Linked DNA regions of Diceros bicornis minor. The protein of the gene in region 1 interacts with the protein of each later gene in a biochemical or structural test. Links are inferred from orthologs where the notes say so. Each region holds a gene or a part of one and is shown in the gene's direction. Other genes may lie near its edges.

The links.
Region 2: the proteins of MAD2L1 (region 1) and REV3L form a complex in vitro, tested with the Homo sapiens proteins (2 studies listed by BioGRID). The link is inferred for Diceros bicornis minor from reciprocal best matches to the Homo sapiens genes MAD2L1 and REV3L.
Region 3: the proteins of MAD2L1 (region 1) and UBD form a complex in vitro, tested with the Homo sapiens proteins (2 studies listed by BioGRID). The link is inferred for Diceros bicornis minor from reciprocal best matches to the Homo sapiens genes MAD2L1 and UBD.

The regions. Positions count from the first base shown.
Region 1 is NC_080750.1:13,586,769-13,594,500, reverse strand, and holds the start of MAD2L1 (mitotic spindle assembly checkpoint protein MAD2A), read left to right. Parts: upstream 1-4,716; 5' UTR 4,717-4,800; coding exon 4,801-4,873; intron 4,874-5,726; coding exon 5,727-5,873; intron 5,874-7,732. UniProt on the Homo sapiens protein: Component of the spindle-assembly checkpoint that prevents the onset of anaphase until all chromosomes are properly aligned at the metaphase plate.
Region 2 is NC_080762.1:23,945,489-23,953,318, forward strand, and holds the start of REV3L (DNA polymerase zeta catalytic subunit), read left to right. Parts: upstream 1-4,809; 5' UTR 4,810-5,273; coding exon 5,274-5,412; intron 5,413-7,830. UniProt on the Homo sapiens protein: Catalytic subunit of the DNA polymerase zeta complex, an error-prone polymerase specialized in translesion DNA synthesis (TLS). Lacks an intrinsic 3'-5' exonuclease activity and thus has no proofreading function.
Region 3 is NC_080753.1:36,034,497-36,041,265, forward strand, and holds UBD (ubiquitin D), read left to right. Parts: upstream 1-4,010; 5' UTR 4,011-4,248; coding exon 4,249-4,266; intron 4,267-5,220; coding exon 5,221-5,691; 3' UTR 5,692-6,248; downstream 6,249-6,769. UniProt on the Homo sapiens protein: Ubiquitin-like protein modifier which can be covalently attached to target proteins and subsequently leads to their degradation by the 26S proteasome, in a NUB1-dependent manner.

The DNA.
Region 1 (7,732 bases):
GATGCTGCACGGGGTGGGCTATGTGTGGGGTGTTCACCCAGCCTGGTTGCAGCACAGGTGCTACACAGGGAGATGGAGGTGTGGTACGCTTGCGTAGGTTGGTTGCAGTGCAGTTGCTGCTTGGGGTGGGTGGGGCTTTGGGCACTTGCCCGGCCCAGTTACCGTGTGGCTGCTGTGCAGGGAGGGCAGGGTGCAGGGTGCTCACCTGTCCTGGTTGTGGCGCAGCTGCTGTATGGAGTGGGCAAGGTGCAGAGCATGCTCACTGGTGTTAACAGGTTTAAGGACGGGCACCAGAAGTGGCGTCTGCCAGCTCCGTCATGATGAAGTTAGAATGAGATTGTGAAAATGACATCCACCAGTGTTTCTGTCTCTGGAGAGATTTTCTGCAGGTCCCTGCCTCTCCATCAGCCACTGTAGGATTGGTAAGTGGGTCTCCCTCACTTATGCTCTAGGCGCTTTTCAAACTGTTGCTTTTGCACTGGATCTCAAGGCAAGTGTGTCTACACAAGCCCTGTAAGAGCAGATTCTCCATTTCCTACAGTTCCGTGTTTCCCCTGGACTTAATCCCTGTTGATTTTCAAAACTAGATGTTTTGCAGGCTTGTCTTTCTGGTGGCAGGCTCAAGGATCAGAGTGCCTGATGTGTGGCACAATCCCTTCAATCCTCAAGGGAAAGTTCCATATTTACAGATCCCTTCCTGATTGTGGGACATCACACTGGGATGGGCTCCCGGCCGAGACCAAGTCTCTGCTTCTCCTACCCTTCTTGATGCATCTCTTTTATCTTTGCTGCAGAGGTGCTGTTTGTCCAGTTCTCAGGTCCTTTTCAGAGGAAAATTATTCCATATGTAGCTGTAAATTTCTTGTATCTGTGGGAGGAGGTGAGTTTAGGGCCTTCCTGCACTGCCATCTTGAACCTCTCCCTAGAATCGTTAAGAGTTATCATGATAAATAAGAAATAGAACAGGTTCAGAGTTTGGGCAGCTCTTCCTAATATCCCATAGCTTTGAACAACTCTACTCTGTATTACAGGCTTGCCACCTTGGAGTTATCTGCACTACCATTTCATTCTTCCTCCATATCAGTCATCAACTCAATTCTTGTTTTAAAATGTCTTGCTCTGATGCGGTACCTTCTTTTTTTGGGGGGGGAGGAAGATCAGCCCAGAGCTAACAACCATGCCAATCATCCTCTTTTTGCTGAGGAAGACTGGCCCTGAGCTAACATCTATTGCCAGTCCTCCTCCTTTTTCTCCCCAAAGCCCCAGTAGAAAGGTGTATGTCATAGTTGCACAGCATTGTAGTTGCCGTATGTGGGACGCCGCCTCAGCATGGCTGGACGAGCTGTGCGTCGGTGCGCACTTGGGATCCGAACCCAGGCCTCCAGTAGTGGAGCACATGCACTTAACCGCCAAGCCACAGGGCCAGCCCCTGATGTGGTGCCTTCTTATTCAAACTCTCTGGCATCCATCTAGGCCAGGCTCTCAACCTCCTAGGCCTGCATGGCTAAAATATCCATCATAGTCTACTGCTTTTCAAAAAGTGATTTAAGAACTTGCATCAGAATCATTTGGGACGCTGGTTAAAACACGTCATCTCTTAAACCCCATAAAGTAGACCAGCACCGTCCAATAGAAATATAACATGAGTGACATATGTAATTTTAAATGTTCTGGTAGTCAGATTAAAAAGCTAAAAAGACACAAGTGAAATTATTTTAATAATATGTTTTATTTAATCCAATGCATGTAAAATATCATTTCAATATGTAATTAATTAAAAAACATATCAATGTAATTCTTTACATTCTTTTTTTATCGTCTCTGAAATCAGGTATTTCATACTTGTAGCATATCTCAGTTCAGACCAGCACATTTTAAATGCTGAAGCAGCCACCCATGGCTAGTAGCTGTGGTACTGGACTGACTCAGGCTTGGAGAAGGGGGAATAGAAGCCAGGAAAATACATATTTAGCAAAATACCCAAGTGATTCTTTCACATTCTTAAGTTTGAGGACTACCACTCACAGTCGTCCTGTACACAATCATTTCTACAACCATTACTGAATTTACACCTGAGAAAATGTCCCGCTAATCATTTCAATCCTAAGAACCTAGAAATCCCTGGTACTTCCAGTTCAATCAACATAGATGGGTATTCAGAGCTCCCTAAATGTGGCCTCACCTCATCCATCCAAGCTGCTCTCCAATGGGAAAATGTTTTCGGTTCTTCTGTCAAGTTTTCCTAGGAAACTATTCAAATGCTCATTCCTTCAACAAATATTTGTGGAGCACCCACCAAATATCATCATGGATCCTCCACCAAAACAGGGAAGATGGAACTCAAATCATTCTATAATCATAACAAGGTAATTATTTTCATTCTGACCTTGAAAGCAATGCTCTGAAATAGCACTATGAAATGCTATGAAAATGCCTAAGAGCAGGACCTTATAGTCTGAGGGGTCAAAGAAAATTTCTTTAATACAACATTTAAGTTAAAAAAAGAATATAGGGGCTGGCCCCATTGCCTAGTGGTTAAGTTCGGTGCGCTCCACTTCCGCGGACTGGTTCAGTTCCTGGGCGTAGACCTATACCACTCATCAGCAGCCATGTTGTGGCAGCATCCCACATATAAAATAGAGGAAGACTGGCACAGATGTCAGCTGAGGGTGAATCTTCCTCAGCAAAAAAAAAGAGAAGAATATAAACATAACTTGAAATTTGAACAGATAAAATGAAATTTCTAAGCAGAGGAAAGCACATTATGAAAAACCCTGAGATGGAAAAGTTACTAAAGGATCAGGCAGACTAGGAAAGTACAGGGCTGCCCAGGTAGGCAGAAGGCAAGTAAGGTCAAATTTGTAAGCCTTTAATTTTTCTTTTTTTTTCCCCTTAAGTATGCATATTTAATCAAAACTAGATTATAAACTCAAAAAGCACAGACCACACCTTCTAAGCCTTAATTATTTCTTATATCTCCTCACAGAGCACAAATAAAGTATTTAAAAAATACTTCATCTATACATGGAAAAATACATTTTGCTAGCCTTTTAAATTCTAGAATCTCCAAAATTATACTAACAATTATTTGCATCTTCAGCTAATTTACAAGCTATATTACTATGAAACCTAAGGAAGTCTTTCCTGAATTGCTGAGTATTAACATAAAGTTCCTTAGAAAGAGAGACAATTTGTATACACAGTAAGGTAGCATTGCACTCTAACTCAAGTTCCTGGTGCAAGGAGTGAAAAGATGGTGATTTACACACACAGATACACACACGTACCACAGAGACTGAAGGATGTAAGGAAAATATTTTGTTGGGTCGTCAGCCTCTTACTTATTATACCTATGTTTTAATCTTCAAAGTGATCAAAATCTGATATATAACTGTGATAGGCAGAATTCTAAGATGGCCTCCAAAATTCCTGGTCTCTAGGGAGCACATCCTATATAACTCCTCTCCCTTGAGCGGGGCCAGAACCTGTGAATATGAGGGCCTATCACTTCTGGGATTACGTTCATCAAAGGAGAAACTGTTTGACCGGGTCTGACCTAGTCAGGCAAGCCCTTAAAAGGGAACTCCCTGAAGTCAGGGAGACTACAAGTGTGAGAAGGCTTACTGTACCTGGCAAAGGCACAAACCTGGCCTCTGGCCAACAGCTGGCAAGACAAAGAACCACAAGGACGTTAATCCTGCCAACCACCAAGGGGCTTGGAAGAGGACCCCAGCCCTTAGACGAGATCCCACGCACAGACGCCTTTATTTCAGAACACTCAGCTAGGCCACGCCCAGACTCCTGACCTACGGGACTGACATAATAAACGCCTGTTCACACCACTAATTCGTGGTAATTTGTTCTGCAGCAATAGAAAACTAATACACTCAGCCATTTCTCATATAATTAAATAACACAGTATGTCTGGTACAGTTTTTCAGACTGCATTTTACAAATAATCTTTCCACCTGCTACAAGAATAAACTCGTTTCACAACGGCCATGAACATTAATTGTGCACCATCTCCTTTATACCTCTCATCCTAACATGAAGTCATTGAATTTGTGCGTCAAAATCCACGGAAAAGTTCTTCAGTGTTGAGGGGCCTTTTTGGCGAGGTGACCTTGTTCCTGACCAGCCGCCTGCGGGTGGGCAGGGCGGACGGAGAGCAAGCTGCACCCCCAGCCGCCCCAGACTCGGCCGCGCAGGGGGCTGGGGGTGGAGGCGGGCGGAGCCCAGGGCAGACGCAGACTAGGCAGAAAAACGGCTGCGGTTCGCCCCTTTGGCCCCCACCCCAGTTTCTCGGGAAAAGCCGCGCTCCCACAGCCATCGAGGCCTCTAAAGCCGAGGCTCGGCTGTGCGCCGCTGCCTTCCGAACTCCCAACGTGTCCAGCCCAAGTCTCAGCCCTCCACTAGGGATCCCTGGGGAGTTCATATCATTTTGAAAATATCTTCCGAACGCAGAATCTGTGCTCCTCGGTCGCTCAGTCTGCAGGCCTAGGGAGCGGCCAACAAGACCGGGACGTGCCGTCTTCCTCCCTCCGCTCCACCTAGCCGACCGCAACGGGAACTGCCCGCAGACACCCACCGGGTTAGGACGCCCGGCACAGCGTGACCACGCTGACCCACTGCGCCTGCGCCCGTCGCGGGGGCGGGGCTTAGAGGCTGGTCGCGCCTGCGCGAAGGGCCCGACGGCGTGCTGCGTCGTTACTTTTGAAACGAGTGGCGGGCAACTGCTGCGAGAGCCCCTGCTGCTCCTGCCCCCCCGAGGAAGCGCGCGCCTCCGTCTGTGGCCTGGCCATGGCGTTGCAGCTCTCCCGGGAGCAAGGCATCACCCTGCGCGGGAGCGCCGAGATCGTGGCCGAGTTCTTCTGTGAGTCCTCCTGGCGGAGGCCGGGGGCGGGGAGGCCGGGGCAGGCCGCCCGGTAGGCCCGCGGCTCGGCTCCGCGGCGGGGAAGCCGGGGGGCCCGCAGCGGCCGCGAACTCGAGCCCTGTCTGTCCCGGCCTCCCGTCCGGCCGGAGGAATCTGGGGAGAGGCGGGTGCGGGCGTCTCCCCCGGCCGCGGTGCTAATGGCGGAGGAGGAGGCCTCGGTGCTGCGGCGGCCTGCCTCGCCGGGTACGGCCCCTGCCCTGGGGCGGTTCTTTAAAGTGCAGATCCGTGTCTGCCCCCCCGCCGCCCCAGGGCCTTGGGACGTAATGCGACCGGGGCGGGGGGCACGTGTGGGTGATTCTGGGGTTGGCGGTGATGCACTCGACTTTGGGAAGCGCTGTTCTGCACCTGGCCGGTCCTTCCTTCTGTTAGAACCTGGCAGGACTTGTGAGAGGAAAAGGAGGAAAAAGACAGAGAGAGGTTTGCCCGGGGCCTTGGACCAGCCAGTCAGTTGCTAACGCGCGCCGAAGCCTCTTTGACATCCCCGAACCACATAATCTGAATTTGGACTTGGATTACAATGAAATGAAATTTGGCAGTGGTAGATTAATGCAGTTTGGCATTTTTCTTTTATTGCCACAAAATGCAGGCATTGCTTTCTCTCTTTTACTTAGAAGCAAGACTTCAAGGATTTTTAATGAAATTTTGTACCTACTGTGCTTTCAGCAAGACCCGCACAAACACGTCTGTTCAGGCATTTACAGACATACCATTAATGAAACCAAAGCCAGATCTAAATGTTTTGTTTTCCCGAGTTACAAAGTGATAATAAGTTCAACATTTTTTTTCTTTTCAGCATTTGGCATCAATAGCATTTTATATCAGCGTGGCATATATCCATCTGAAACCTTTACTCGAGTGCAGAAATATGGACTCACCCTGCTTGTAACTACTGATCCGGAGCTCATAAAATACCTCAATAATGTGGTGGAACAACTAAAAGGTATTCAGTTGTTGGAAACGGTTTTGAGTTTTGCAGGCCTTCTAGAATCCACATTTTCTAGCGTCTTGGTGGTCATCTTTCAGCTCTGTACATAGGGTTGTAAAACACACTACCATCTCAGATATACTGACTCAGCTGGGAGGAAGCAAACAATGTAAATTGAAAGAAATCCCACCCTTCCCCCACCACATTTTGAGTGAGCTGAATATTTTGATGTGAGGAATCTGAGACGGCTTAACAAGACAGCCTCCATCAACTCCCTTAGAAATGACTCGTGCAATTCATGTGGCCAAATGGAGCAAGTTGGAATTTTACATAATTATGATGGTGTTCATTATCTGAGAAAAATCCACTATACATTCTTAATATTATATATATTCTGTAGCTGCTTGGAGTCTAAAGTTGTCATTATTAAGATCAAGGAAATAAAATTGGATTCAACGTGGGAACTAAACTTAAAAAAAGAAAAAAAAAAAGAACAAGTACTAAATAGTAGAGCCCAGTAGAGTTTTCTTGTTTTTCACCTGTTTCCATTTGTCTTTTTTAAAAATCTTGCCTGTGAGTCAGTAAGCTTTTTCTATCTGAACACTCATTTTTTTTAGCTCAAGAAGTTGCTGTATTGTTGGATCAATACTTGTTTTCCATCTATTCCTTTTTTTCCTTCCTCTAGAATTCCTATTAGTTTCTCTTTTATGTTTCTCAACACTTAGGATTCTTTTAATTTTTCTGTGTTGTAAAATGTTCCCATTTGATAATCCAAAATACTAGTTCCAAAACACACTACAGTGGTCATCTTTTTTTTTTTAATTTTTAAATTCATGAATCTCATATATATATTGTTTCAAGTAGCTTCATTTTTAAAATTACATTATTGTATTTTTATTAACTTCAGAGCTAAATTACCCATAGTTTCCCATACTTATTTATAGGGCTATACTCAGATTATTTGGCCTGGAAACCTCTAGGCAACTATAGAGCTGTGTCTTCATCTTAATTTGATGAAGAAGCAATACTTACCTAAGCTACTGGTGTTTTGGATTGTCTCCTTTGAGACACCTCAGATGTATCTAGACCATCCTATTTAACTTCTTCCTTTTAGTTTAGTTAAAATGGAGGAATTGCTCTCCTTAGAGGCAAATTGTTCAATCTGTTTTGAATCCCATCCCTCTAGCCTTCTGAGGGACTTTATCCTATGTTTTCTGTTGTATTTTCGACTTCTTTGTTTTGATTTGGATTATTCCCGTTGGTTTCATCTCTCTCCAATTTTAAAGAAAAATTACCACCTACCTCAAATCTTCAAATTACCACCTAATCTCCTCCTTTTCAGAGCTAAACTGAGAAAAAGTTGTTGATATATGCCAGGGGTCAGCGAGAATATTTTTACGTTTTTAAAGAGTTGTTTTGAAAAGAATATGCAACAGAGACCTAGGTGGCCCACAAGCCTTAAATATTACTGAATTATTTTGTCTCTTTAAAAAAAAAACCTGCTGATTCCTGGATATACTATCCCAATTTCCTAGATTTATTCAGGGGTCAATTGCAGGCCCTCTTCTCACTATAATCTCTCTCTCGATGATCTCTGACACGTTCCTAGCTCCATTAACAACATCTGTATAGTTGACTCACAAACTTACATCTAACCCAAGTCTTTCTGAACTCTAAGCTCATATATCAAGTGGCTCTCTTGATATCTTCATGTGGCTGTCTCAGGGATACTTCAAACTCAGCATATTAAAAACTAAGTTTAGGATCATCTCCATTTCACTTCTCTTTCCTCTCTGAATGGACAGCCACCCAACTATTGATGTAAGCCAGGAACCTGGGAGCTGTCCCCAACTCCTTCCTCTTCCTTACTCTCA
Region 2 (7,830 bases), on another chromosome or scaffold:
TGATTATGGTTTCTAGCTGCAGAGAGTGGAGTCCACTCTAGGAGTTCAGCGGAGAGCAGTAACTCCTCTTTGGGGGCATTTTTGTCACAGTGGCATGTAGTGCCCAGGGGCCAGAGATGTTAAATATCCTGCACAATGAAGAACTGTTTCACCCAAAATACCAGGAGAAGCCCCCTTGAGAAACACTGAGCTCAGGGTCAACTTCACGGGCATGCAGACTGTGCAAACAGGGCTCAGTGCCTGGTTTAATGCTCTGCAGTCACTACTTTGAAAATCTTAATAGTTTTATGTTTGAATGTCTGTTTTATAAATGAAGTCCAGTGGTACAATGAATCATATATGCAAGCAGAGGAGGTAACGTGTGTGTCCTTTCTTCCTTGCCACCCTATTTGCATACAGTCTTCACAATGCCTCATAAGCACAGGATTCTGGTGGACCTATGAGGTGAAGGAACTCAGGGAGTCACAGAGTGAGTCAAGGCAAGCATGTTACATCTATGACTGATTTAGTGGAGGCGCTGACAGTTCCAAGAGGCTATGCTTTCCATCTGACCCAGAACTTGCTTCAGGGGCAAAAAGAAGGCAATGGCATCCTAAGAAATAGATGTGACCAAAGAACCCCATCATATCCTTTCTTACTTGTGTGTGTTACTTCCCTGTAATACCATTTACTCTGAAAATGATGACATAGAAGGAAGGGGAAAGGTAGGGCAGCCCACAGTTCCCTTTCTTTTCAGTCCTTCCTTACTCAGGTTGGTAGGATGTGCTTCATATCAAGAAGGGAAATAAAAAGTTGAGTTGGTTTTGAGCAGCATTTACATTGTTCTGATAAGCACGAAATACATATGCATGTACAAACTATGAAATACGAATTGTGTAATTTTGGTGATTCTACATATGAGTTAAATGCTCTTATATTTGCATTTATAAATGGCATTGCACAATGTAAAGATGAATGGTAAAATTCATTCTAATAATTTAAAATTCTAATTTTTCTTTACTTAGAATGATATTAAAAAGCAAATAAAAAACATCATGACAAGTCGAGGGAGAGATAACAGAGGAAAGAAAAAGCTTTATATTTAAATATATATAGTGGCACTTTTTCCTTGCTTTTTGACCCAGGGGGCCTACCTTTTTCATTTTGCTCTGAGCCCCACAAATTATGTTGCTGGGAGTGACTGAGCTAGTTTAAGCAGAAAGAGATTAAAGGATAGCATTTAGCTCACAGATCTCTGAGAGGACCAGAGAACCAGGCTTGGATAATACATAGCTAGAAACATCCAGGAAAAACCAAACCAGGAAGAACACAAGAATAGCCTGCATCACAAGGCTATTCTAGCAGAAACCCACCCCAGCACCACCTGCCAGTCAGCACCTATGACTCTAAAAATGGATGCCAGAACTCCTCCCCAGCTGCCCAGAAGAACCAGACACCTCCACCATGATGTTTGCCAGAAAATACCATCACCCTGAGTGCAGCTGAGCCATCGTGTTGCTCACTTTCACATTTATGTCTTGAATGGGTGCATCTGATTGCTGGAAATTAGGTCATATGTAGTGATATGCTAAGCAAGCTCGTGATTGTTAGTATCTTCACCAACTAACGCCACGTTCATTGAAGTAACTCTGGTAGCTTAAGAACATTCACACCACGAAAACTGGCCAATGCTACAAATCAGGGTCTTTCCCTTCCCCCAGCCATTGTTAAACATTTACTGGCACACCACTCATCTCATGCCAGTACTCTGGTTACAAGGGAGTCTAGAAACTGTAGTTTTTGATTTTCTAGCTTCTGAAGTACGGAAAAGCAAGCCATAAGGGAACTGGATGAGTGTTGTGTAAGCCATTTTATAATATCTGCCAAAAAATTATGGTAGCCATTGCCTTCTGTTCTAACAAGAAGATGCTAACACACATTGAACATTATTGGCACAGTAGGCCGGGCAGGCTTTTACTAAACACACGACATGATGAGTCTAGGTCAGTGAACTAGAAGAGATGATAAAATGTGGATTGATATGACTAAAATACATTTCTATGATGCTACACTATAAGCTCCATAAGGGTAGGGGCCACATCTATTTTGTTTCTCACTATATCTCAAATCACCTGGCAAATAAAACCCACTCAACAATAACAAAAAAAGAGATGCTTTAAGGATATTAAGTATAGAGCTTAATTTTGGCATTCCTCATATTGTACGTAGGTAAGACAATTCCCAATGATTTTACTGTTTGTAGACGAGTTAAACTTCTGGATGTCAACAGTTTATTATACTTCACAGACATTATCTCATTTGAGCCTTATAACATCCCTGAGTGGTTAAAACAGGAATTACTATCCATTTCATAGATGAGGAAACAAATTCCAAAAAAAAAAGTGAGCTGTCCAAACTCATTTAGATAGCAAATGATGGTTTAAATTTTTCATTCTCTGACTCAACATTCCAGAGTTCTTTCTTAGCTCGGGAGAATATATTTATAAAACACATTTGATAGTGATTAGGTAGGGGGGAATTGTCAGGTTTTTAATTTGAGCATGAACTTAAATTCAATTATGTGCAATGGACACAATATTCTAATTTCACACTGCAAATGCTTTTCTTCAAGAGTAAGCATTCTTTCCTTGGAGTTATAGAAGGATTTGAATTGTGGTTGCAACTGCGTTTTCTTAAAGTAAATGATGTTGTTCAAGGGGTAGGAGGAAAGAAACCCTTTTCTAGAAACAGATCTGTGAATTTGATGCTTTTACCTTTTTCTAGTTAGGAATGGTATAATTTAAATATTACGGATGTGCTTGATTATAGCATAGTACAGGCATTCTCAATTTTATATTACTTAACAATCATGAGAGTGGTGGGTGGGGTTCCCAGTAATACAAATTTCCAGGCCCCATTCCCCCCAAAATAATAAATTTCAAAATATTAATTATATTTATATAATTATAATATATAATTATTATATAATATTTAATCTCAAAATATTAACTATGAGAATCACTAGTGTTGTGCATCTGACCTTCAGCTTGTACAAAATATTTAATTACCAGAAAATGCATTTTAGCATGGTAGTCCTATTTTTAAACCCCTTCCACAGCCTTCTGAAACTTAAGTGATTTTGCATCTTAAAAATATTATTAGGTAATTCCCTGTATATTAGTAGAAATCTTGCCACCTATATTTATAATCATGCTCTGAGTTGAAAACTGCAGGCTCATTTACTGTGGTAATCAGTCTCAAATCCCTTGGAGCATAAATTCTTATTAGCATTATATGCTATGGAATTTCTAGACCGCTTCTTACCAGTGATTTGTCCCTTTGAGCCTTTTGATTTTCCTATTTGAAGAACCACAACGGTTCCAAATGAGGATCTCGCACACCTCTTCATATATGTGGCAACCTAATAACCATTAAAACACACCTGTATAATATATAAGTGTGAAAGAATGAGCTCTAATTTGGGTAGATTGAGATGATTGTCAAAAGTCCTAGTTCAGTGGCATATTTCGAACTTGAAATTATGGTTTCTGCCTCCTACTGCTTAAATCTTTTTGTTGGGAAAAACTCATGGATTTTTAAGTGAAACTCTCTCGTTTCACGGATGAGGAAACTGAAGCCCCCCAAAACAAATTATTTGTCCAAGGTCACGCCCAATATTAGTGACCAAGTCAGACAAAAACCCACAGGTTCCAACATAATGGCCAACACAGTTGCATGTTACTACCCTTCTTTTTGCGATTTCACAACTGTACCCCTACTCCCCCTGCTCTTTTTGGATAAAGTTGTTTTGTCTACAGTCCCCTCCCCCTTTTGCTTTTATGCCTTCGGGTAGTAAAACCTCGCACAACCTGTTAATGAATAACACCGGGAGTCCACATCTACCGCGGCGACTCTCACGGGCCTTTTTCTTTGGCCGAAAATTTCTCTGAAAGACTCTTAATCCTACATTCCACCGGGGTAGGGCGGGGAGGAGAGAGGTCACCGGGAGCTGACAAGTCCTTACATGTCCGCGCGCGCGCCCGAGACGCAGCCTGCGGGCCCGAAAAGGAAACCAAGAAAGGATACGCTAGGGCGAGGGAAGGAAAGGGGCGGGAGAAAAACACCGCGGTGGGAAATCCCTGTGCACTGGATCTGCCAAATCCTGGCAAGGCTGAGCAGAGCCGAGCGTGAATAAATCTCATTAAGTGGCCGTACGCAGACACTGCAGCAGCACACACGAAGAGGGGGCGCGGCGGCTCGCGCCGCACAGGCGGGAGGGAGCGCCGGGGCGACCCTTTTATAGGCCGAAGATCGCGCTCGCGCGCCCCCGCCCCTCGCGCCGCCCTCGGGCCACGCGCGGAGCCGCGGCGTTACCTGAGAAGGGCCAGCTGCGTCCGCCTGGCCCCGCCCGTTCCGCCGCCCGCCCTCCCGCGAGGCCGCCGAGGCACGAGATCTGCGCCTCGGCTCCCTCCTCCCGCAGGCGGGTTTTCTTACCTTGTAAAAAGCCGTCTCCGCGGCTGCCCCCGCCTCCTGTGCAGGATGTGAAATGGCGGTCGGCGAGGCGAGCGCGAGTACCGTAGCTCCGGCCAATCCCGCTTAGCCGCCAAAACGGCCCTGAACATGGGATAGCCCCCACCTGCAAGCCCCTCCGAGCCCATCCATGTCATCGGCGCTCCGCCGCCCCCTCCGCTGCCCCTGACCCAGGTGGCCGTGCCCACCGGCCGAGTCATCGATCCCCCGCGCCGGGCGCCGGCCCAGCTTTCCCCCAGCCTCCTACCCCGCTACGTGCCCGGGGGCGGGGGAGAAAACACCTTCTCGGCCCCCGCCGGGGTGTCCCGCTCGGGCGCGCGCCCCGCTCCCTCCCTTTCCCTCCGCGTCCCCTCCCCCAACTACTCACAGCCCTCCCTTCGCCACTCACCACCCCGGTCTCCCCTCCCCCAGTGGTTGCGTCCGTGACATCATCATCATGGCAACAAGAGCTGCAGCCTGGGACCGAGGAGCCCGTGTGATTCCCGGCGGTGGCGGCAGCACCAGCACCGACGACAGCGCCACGGCTTCTCTCCTGCTGCCCCTCGCCGGCTGCTCCTGAGGAGGCGGCGGCAGCCGTGCCAGGCCCGCCCCGCCCGCCGCCGCTCGCAGTGTCTGTGTGTGAGGGGAGGGGGACGCGCCGAGCAGGGGAGGGGGCACCGCCGCCGCCGTTGCCGTGGGGCTGCCGCTGCGGAAGGAGCCGCCGCCGCCGCTGCTGCCGCTGCCAGGTCGCTAGTGAAGAGGAGGCGGTGGCGGCGGCGGCGAACATGTTTTCAGTGCGGATAGTGACTGCCGACTACTACATGGCCAGCCCGCTGCAGGGGCTGGATATCTGCCAATCCCCCGTCACCCAGGCCCCTGTCAAGAAGGTGCCGGTGGTGCGAGTCTTCGGAGCGACCCCGGCAGGTAAGCGGGCGCGGGCGGGAACCGGCGGGGCGCCGGGGCTGCCCTCCCCGCCGCGCACAGGCGCCCACGCCGCCGGCGCCGGCCCTCTCGGCGGCTGGCTGCCGCGTCTTCCTCCCCTCCGCCCTCCTCGCCTTTCCTCCCGTGCGTGACAAGAGGCGCGGAAACGGGGGTCCGCGCGAGAGCTGCGCCCCCCGGGCGGGGAGGCGGCGGGTGCCGAGTGTTTACACTGTGTGCGGCGGCCGGGATCTGGATCTGCACTGCCGGGTTGCGGGGCAGGAGGAGCGAGCTTCGCGAGCACCGCTCTGGCCCCGGAGGATGGGCCAGGTGGCCGCGCCATGTCTTGCGGGGACGGGTTCGCCGGGCCCTGCTCTGAGGTCGGTCGCCGGTGGGACCGCGGACATCCCCTGCGTTTCCCAAGTGCCTCTTTCTGGAAATGGCTTGGAGAGGGGAGGGGAAGTGTCAGCTCTGTTGTCAGTCGCTCCTCTTCGCCTCCTAGCAGCGCTCTCCTCTGCCCCTTCCGGAGAGGTAGTGGGCTGAAGAGTGGCGCCTGGGGCCAGATAATCGTTCTCAGTGAAGTGACCATGTGGTTCTGCTGTGAGCGCAGGTCGTGACTCCTTAGAGTTAAAGCCTCAGAGTCTGGGGACAGGGCAGCATCCTCAGGTGCAGTGCTTTCAGGGAAATGTGCGTCCATGGAAGTAGGAAATGCGTGTTTATGTTGCCCAACGTAAAACATCCCACTTAGCGTGAATTGCTTGCGTCCCACAGCTCAACTCAGCAACACAAACATTAAAAGATAACCCTATGCTGGGTTGTAGGGTTGCGTTTTTACATACAAATATATTTAAAACAAACTGTTTTCAAGAATGAGCCAGGTGGGGAGACGGCAGTGACAAGCTACCTTCTCAAAAGCTTTTGGGGATTTATGATAATATAAATGGATAGTGGGCAAATTTACGAGGTGTTTTTGGTTGTTTTTCGTTTCTGCATGCTATGAACTGCCTACATGAAATAATGGAGCTGCCTCCTAGAAAGGGATGCTGTTGCCTCTAGCTGTGTATTGCCCTATGGGATTTTAGATAGCATTTCCCACTTGATGCTCCTCTCCCTAATCATCATTCATCTTACTACTAGTCAATTTATGTGAACTACCGAGATAATAGCACTACTTTCCCAAAGACAAGCAGTCATTCCAAGCAGTTATCTTTTAATGTGAATTCTCTTTGTTAAAAACTTCAGTGATGTTAGTGAGATTTGGTAGAGTATTCCTTTTTAAAATAGTGAAAAAGATTTTGATGATATGGACCTTGTAAGATGGGGTATTGGAATGCTGTTAACAATTCGTTGAACGTGTAACACTTGAAACTTTGGAAGCTGGAAAATAGAGGCAGTCAAGTGTTCTGAAGAATAGATTTTTCTGCCCTTTTAAATATAGTGATGCTGTCTTTGTTTTAATTGGAATTTCAGTGTAATATACTGTTTGTTCTCACTTCAGCTGCAGAGAAGGAAAAAGATAGTGACGTTGATTATAGCTCTGTTCAGCTGGATTTCCAGATTATAAAGCGACATGCTCATAGTATATACTGTGGCATTTCTGAGTATTACAGTTTGTATGGTTTGGGTTACTTTTCTACACATAGTTTTTTTTTCTGTACACAAGTCATTAAATATGTATTGCTGAGTGGTTTTCAAGCTCTGTTTCATAGGAAAGTTTTGTTTGTGGAAATAAATGAATTTCATTGTGAGCTAGCAGTAATTCTGTTATCAGAGAAAATATTCTTTAAAAAAATAAAGAATATGATATACTTTTGTGTTTCTCAGTTTAAAAAAAGAGACTTGAACTAGTCTATGATTAGAAACATTTATTTCTTCCCTCTTGGACATCTTAAAATAGATTACCAGCCCCCCCTTAAAAAAAAAAAAAAAAAGCACAAACCCAAACTGTTTTTTTATATACCTTGAAATGTATATTGTAAATGAATATACAAGTAAGACTTTTTGTATATACATTGAAAGATGTAAAACTTGATACAGAGAAACCCGAACTTCAAGTTGTTAAGGATTATCAAATTGTTTGCTATAAATATAGTTCAGTTTCAGACATAAAAATTTTTGTGTTTCCTCAACAGGTGAAAAAATTTGAAGTCACTGGCATACATTTAGAGTTTACAGCTTTCAGAAATCAAGTCAGCATTTTTAGCACCTCAGAAACTCTCAGTAAAATTAGTATTAATTAAATGTAAACAGAAACTCTCCAATTATCTGCTTCTGAATTCTCTTCTCAAAGAAAACCAGTCTAGTCCACCCAGTAACATAAAACTTGAAAATAATTAAAAGAGAGGTCAATTCGGCTTAGTAGAAGTCTGAATGCTAGAATTTTTAATGAAGACAGATTTATTGTTTGAAAGTACAAACTATGTT
Region 3 (6,769 bases), on another chromosome or scaffold:
AGTATTAACGTAACACACATTAGTGCCATTCAATAAATTGCTTTTATCAAACATTAAGTTCTCACAGTTAAACTTTAGGCTCTGAATATGACCAGATGAGATCATATCAGAGGGATCCTAAGTGACTCATTCCCCGTTGAAAATCTTCAAGTAACTCACATTAGCATTTAGATTGGGCTTTGTTTCTGTTAAAAAGCGAACATACTCTGAATTTCAAAGTAGCTTATCTCTCTGTTTCTCTATGTAGTTTTGCTTGTTTTTAAGATTTATAAAGAGTATCATACTTTATGTAGTTTCCTTGGTCTTGTATTTTTTACTCAGGAGCTTTCTGGCATATTCATCCATATTGTTGCTTGCAGGTGTAATCCGTCCGTTTTCACTGCTGATGATATTCCACAATTCAGTTATCTATTTCCCTATTACTGTAAGATATTTGGGTTGTTTTAGTTTGGCATGTCCATTTTTAATTTTTATAGTATTTCCAAATTGTCCCTCTTTGAGAGTGAACAAATTTTTTTTCCATCCATCAATAAACAAGAACTCCCAGTGGCTTTTTCACTGAGTTTAGTTGGCATTTCAGAAGCAATATTCTAGATCTCAAAGCAGTTTTACGAACTCTTTCATGGGTATTAGTAAAGAGACAGGAAAGAGGCCTCAATGGAAGCAGTGACTAGCCTAAGACCACCCATCAGCTAGGGCCAAGCTAGGAGGTTTGTAGATACAGGATACATTTGTTTTATAACCTAGCAAGATCTCTATAGCATGATCTTTCACGTTGGCTGATCTTCTGAATTTGTTAGAGGGGCAAATGAAAACAGATCTTTCTGTCTCTGAAAAAATTTATTATGGCACAGAGAAAAAAATAAGTCAGATTGACATGTGGTAACAAGCAAGGAGGAGGTCAGGTCCCAAAAAGAATTCCTACCTGTGGTCAGCAAAGTGGCACCAGGGTGTCTGGGAAAGAGCTCGCCCTGGCCTTGGGTGGGAGGGGAATTTCACAGAGGAAGGGAAGAGGGAGATCAGAGCCCAGATTTGTTATTCTCATTCCTTAAAAGGACACTGTTTCTCAGAATCCAGATCCTGTCTACGTAGGGAATCCTCTGAAATCCCCAGCTCCAGTGGGAGGTTCCTGTACTGCCACCTGGAGTTGCATGACAGTGGCACTCTTTAATACTCACAGTCCCAGGAGAGCAGTTCTCATCTACCTTGCACCAGGCTGCAATTTTCCTCCAGGCTCCGACACCTGCGCTCACAGGCTCTTTGCTTACTTCCGCCGAGTCGGGGAGGATAGAGTGGTCTGGGCAGAGCCTGCCACCTAGGACTATTCCTACCTACATATGGGCCCCAAAACTCTTCTTGCTGTCACTCATCCCAAGGCTCCTTGCATCCTCTGCTTTCCTTTGTCTCTCTGTATTCCTTCCCCCAACTTGTACCTTTCCTGTAATAAACAGGCCTATGTGTGCATGCACTCTCCCCCTCTCTTTCCACTGAAGCACAATATGATAAGAAGAAGATAAGGACTATAGAAGTAGAGATTAGCATTTGAACTCTTGCTCACCAGCTACTACTAATATGACTATGGATTAGCTTGCTTATCAATAAAGATACTAATATTTACCTCATTAGAATGCTGAAACAGTTAATGAGGTACCATTTAATAATGTCTCGTGCAGTTCCTGAAATATAATAAGTACTCACTAAATGTTATTTTCCATTTTTAGTTATTCACTTACTTATTCATTTAGAAATTCATTCATGGATTTAGTAAATATTTATTATTTACTATGCTAGACAGCATGCCCGGGAAGTGCTGAAGATACAAGCTAATTAAGACGTAGTCATGACCCTCAAGATGCCTACTGTTTACTGGGGCAACAGACAAGTAAGCAGATGCTCTTATTGCTGAAGAAATGTGCTCTGAGAGGCTTGTGGAGGGAGTATGAGAGGACAGAAGATGGGCACATAACACAGAATAGGAAGGAAGAGAGTTAGGGAAGGCTTCCTGGAGGAGATGCTGCTTATAGTGCATATTCTTATAAATTCATGATGTTGGGGGTAGAGTTGGAGGGAAATGCATGCTCAATGACCTGGTGGCAGAGAGCTTGGCATGTTTAAGGATATGCAGGGAACTCAGGGAACTGTGCAGAGAAGCAGCTAGACCTACGTATCTGCAGCTCAGTTTGGGTGGTGGTTATATATCTGAGGGGCATCAGCAGACAAATATCTTTCCTGGGGAATGTCATTCCAAGACTCCCCCTCCTGGAGCTTCCGGCTAAGGTTTCCTGCTTCCCCTGAGAATGCAGACATTGGCATAAAGATGGTGTAGGCTACTGGAACAAGAAGGGCAAAGAGGGAAAATGTATGAGAAGAGAGTAATTTAATTTTAAGCAGCCTTAAACATTTAATCTCCCTCTTCCCTTTACAGAAATGATGTGAAGATCTAAGAAGATAATGGGTGCAAATAAATTTGAAAAGTGAAAGCAGTTTATTCAATCTGTGTTTTTTATAGATTTTCCTCTCTCTTTTTCCACGCTTCCCATCACTACCCCACTGCAGGGCTTTCTCTTTCTCTATCACCCTCAACCTGATCTGACATTTTCTGCCTGGCCACTGGTGATGTTTCAGAATACCCAAATTCTATTGGATAGCAGATGCAAGGCAGCCTTTGCTGCTGTGCACCAGCTAAAGGTCACAATCCTGGTTTCTAAACACAGAGGACAATAGGAACCTGGAGAGATATCTGAAGGGAGACTAGCAGGTGCCCATGTTTCCAGTCTATTCCATCACACACTCTTCCCTCTTCATATTCACCCTATGTATTTAAAAAAAGTATGTCTACCCCACAAAAATACATTGAGATAATAATTAGTTTTTTCAGTTTTATTAACTAAGAGCTTCAAATAGAAGAACATGATTTATGTTAAGATTTTTGAAATATTGGAATGACCTCTTAGATCCCATTACTCTATGCAGGCACTTCTGTAAATCCAAGTTCTCCATGATGGAAACCCCTGGAATAAAATGGGATCATTTGAAATCTGTCACTGAGTGAAGATACAGTAAATGGCCACTGAAAATACAGCCAACAAAGATGATAACTTGGCATTTTTATGAGCTTTTTACTTTGAAATAAATCCTTTTTTTTAAAAAAATGGGTTTTGTGGCAATGTCCTGAGAGTCTGGGAGAGGGGAGTGAGTAATTTGGAGTGTTAGGAGGATCAGAGTGATATCGAGTCAGTTCCCTGAGGGCACACAGCTCATGTACTCTCTCTTTGTCCCAATCCCAATCTCAAGGGCCAGGCAGTGAGCAGCACCGTAGGCATCTGAGATGGCAGTGTGAGGAGAGTCCAGGAGTACAGCTGGGAAAGTAGAGCCACTGAGGTGAGAGAGTGGATGTGTGATGGCTTTAGTGTGTGGAAGGGGGGAGTCAGCATTTGACTGTTGGCTTTGGATTGTTCTCAAGTAGTGGATTTGGTTTGCAGGTTCTGGGACAGGGGAAGAAGTGAGTCGGAGACCTCAAGACCCAGGAATCTGAAGTTCTTTGTAAAGGACATTTTATAAACAAAGTTTTCTGAGCCTGGAAGACACTTAGTAATTCTCTCAATCATCTCATTTTATAGATCAGAAAACCAACACCTAAAGAGGTGAACAGACTTGCCCAAGGTAATGTAGCAAGTGGCACCGTCATGTCACTTCTCAGTCCAGGGTTATTTATTCTACGTCTTCTCGAGGCTGCTTCACACATCCTGCCAGGCTAGTGTGAGAGGCTGCTCATAATCACATCACTCCACACCTCTGTCCTCTCCTGGGTGTACGTGCTCTCAGGAAGGCCCCTGACTGATGGGAGGTTCTTAAAAGCAGCAAGAGAGGACCACCAAGTTTAAAGGTCTTCAAGCCAGTGAGGGCCCAGGGTTGCAGACTGGACAGTCATAAGTCAGGACTGGGAGTGGTGGGTTGTTAATCAGGGAAAAATTCTCAACAGAGAAGCACCAACCCATGCTTGGATTAAGGAAGGCAGATGTATTGGCTGAGGGGAGAAGGGCTTGAACAGAAAGTATTCTTTGTTTATTGAGTCACTGTAAGCAAAAGTGAAAGAAAATTTATGAAGTTATACAAGAACAGAGAGCACAGGAAATCTAGACAAACACAACAAATCAGGCAGGGGATTTCCAACTCAGCTGTTCATATATAAGCTGGGTGCACTCGCAGTCTCCTCAGGCTCCTGTTTCTACTCCCTTGATTGCTGAGATGGCTACCTGCCTCTATGTAAGTTGGGGTTTGATAATGGGGATGGGGAAAGGGAAAGCACCTTCAAGAGATGGGGGAGAGAGCTCAGGAATGGATGAGGGACAGTGCTCAGGGAGGTAGCGTGACTGGGAGAGCATCTTGAAGGGGATGAGATAGGCATTGATAGCTACAGAAGGTAAAGGAAGCTTTTGTGAAGAGAAGCTGGCCATTTGGCTCCTGAGTTCTCTTTTATGTCAGACCTTGGACTGGCCACTGTTAGGGATAAATGGTAGGAAGTGGGAGTGGGCTTTGTGCTTAACAGGGCTGATGAGATTTGAAACTGTGGAAATACTGTCTTGACCCCTTTTCCCCTTATCCTGTTCAAGGCCCAGAGCTCTTAAACTTAAGCTTCCTTCTCCTCTCAAAAGAGAGGTTCACAAAACTCATTTATCCTAAGTTGTTAATGATCTGATATTACCTTATGCAAGAATATATGCACTATAAAGAGAACCTGGAATGAGGGCAGTGCTTTGCACAGACTCCAGTGAAGAAATGTCTGTGACATCTAGATTGGGAAGATATTTTTGAACAGAATGTGAGGGAGGTCCTCCCAGGCTTTCAAGTGACAACACAGGGGTGAGCTTCCCCAGAGTCTGATATACATCTTTGGATGCTTTGTAGTTGTATTTAGTTTTTGACATTTGACAAAATTTATCCAGATAGGAGGCAGGTAAATAAAGTGGGAAATCGTTAATGATATTGTGAAATGGATAAGAAGTATGGTTATAAAGGAATAAGACTGATTTTATTGTTTGTGTTATAACCTGAAAATTCCAAAAGAGAAGTTCCAAGGAAGGAAGGGACACAGCTTGTTGTAAAGAAGCTAGAGGATCAGATGGGCAGTGAAGGGCAGAAGCAATTAAGGAGGGGGAGCAAGAAGTGTAAAAGGTGGCAGGCAATCTAGGCAACTGTCTGTTGGCCTTCATTGTGCAGGTGAATGTCCATTCTCAGCAATGGAAATTAATGACCTTCACTGCCTACTTGGAAGACAGAGTGAAGAAGATCAATGAACATGTCCGGTCTAAGACCAAGGTTCCCGTGCATGACCAGATCCTTCTGCTGGGTTCGAAGACCCTAAAGCCCATGAGGAAGCTATCATCTTATGGCATTGACAAGGAGACGACCATCCACCTCACCCTGAAGGTGGTGAAGCCCAGTGATGAGGAGCTGAACATGACTCTGGTGGAGTCAGGTGATGAGGGCCAAAGGCACCTCCTCCAGGTGCGAAGGTCCAGCTCAGTGGCCCAGGTGAAAGAGATGATCAAGGCCAAGACCGCTATAACTCCTGAGAAACAGATCGTGACTTGCAATGGAAAGAAATTGGAAGACGGGAAGATCATGGCAGATTATGGCGTCAGAAAGGGCAATTTACTCTTCCTGACACGACACTGCATTGGGGGGTGACCACCCTGGGGATGGGGTAATGCCAGGAGCAAAAGAGTTTATTTCCTTTTGGCTCTTACTCACCAATCACATCCTTTGATTATTTCCCAAAACTAATGAGAGAGAGATAAATAGAAGGATAAGATTTGGGGTGAAGTGGGGAGGGAGACTGCAGAATACTTTCTAACTCTATGATTCTTTGATGCTAACAATTGATTAAGTAGTAGGATTGCATATAATATATTACTTAAAACAAAATACATTTTTAAGGCACATTAGAGATAGCATTCAAAGCCAGCTTGCAGTTTAATCCTTTCTTGGTTCCTTCTGGTTTGTTAAAAAACTCCTGTTTCCTTTCCCATCCAACAAGATAGTGAGTTTTAGGTTGGGATTCATGTTCTCCTAATTTCTATGCTTCCATCTGTGTTTAGCCCAGTGCTTCATCTATTATATTGCTCACTAATTGTTGGAGCAAATTGAATTTTTACTTATAGAGAACAGTGAACTGATTTATTATGAAGTGAATTAATTACTCTGACATGATTACAATCTAATTAATAAAGAATTTAGAAATTCAATTCAACTACTCTTCTCCTTATTTAAAGCTATTTGGTATGAAATAAAACCAGGCACCGTGCCCCCTCTTACTCTCTAATTAAGCCCAATTAAAATCTTCTTATTTCTGGGGATGATGGTGGGCATGGAAAGATACATCCCTGGGGATCTAGAGATTTTGTGTCTCTAGTGGAGGCTCCTTGGGAGCAGATGTGCTTCAGGAGGGAACACACTTCCTGAAGGGTGGGGGATTGTGGACCAGTCTCTGTCGTGCCTTCCTCAGGGTCTAGCAGGTCTTCTCTAGGTTGGAGGTATCAGTTTGGGTGAGGGGAGGAGGGGTTGGTCTCTGGCTTGACCTCAACACTCTGCCCAGGTTCTGGCTGATAGAGCTCTCTGCTTCCTTCACCACCTCTGCTTTCCTCTCAGCCTCCTTCACCACCAGGGACCTGTTCCTCTCTTGGGAACTCCAGACCCTTCTTCCGTCTTACTGCCTTCATTTACTCCTCTGTCTCACTGTCCCTCTTTCATGTCTCGTTACTGGTCA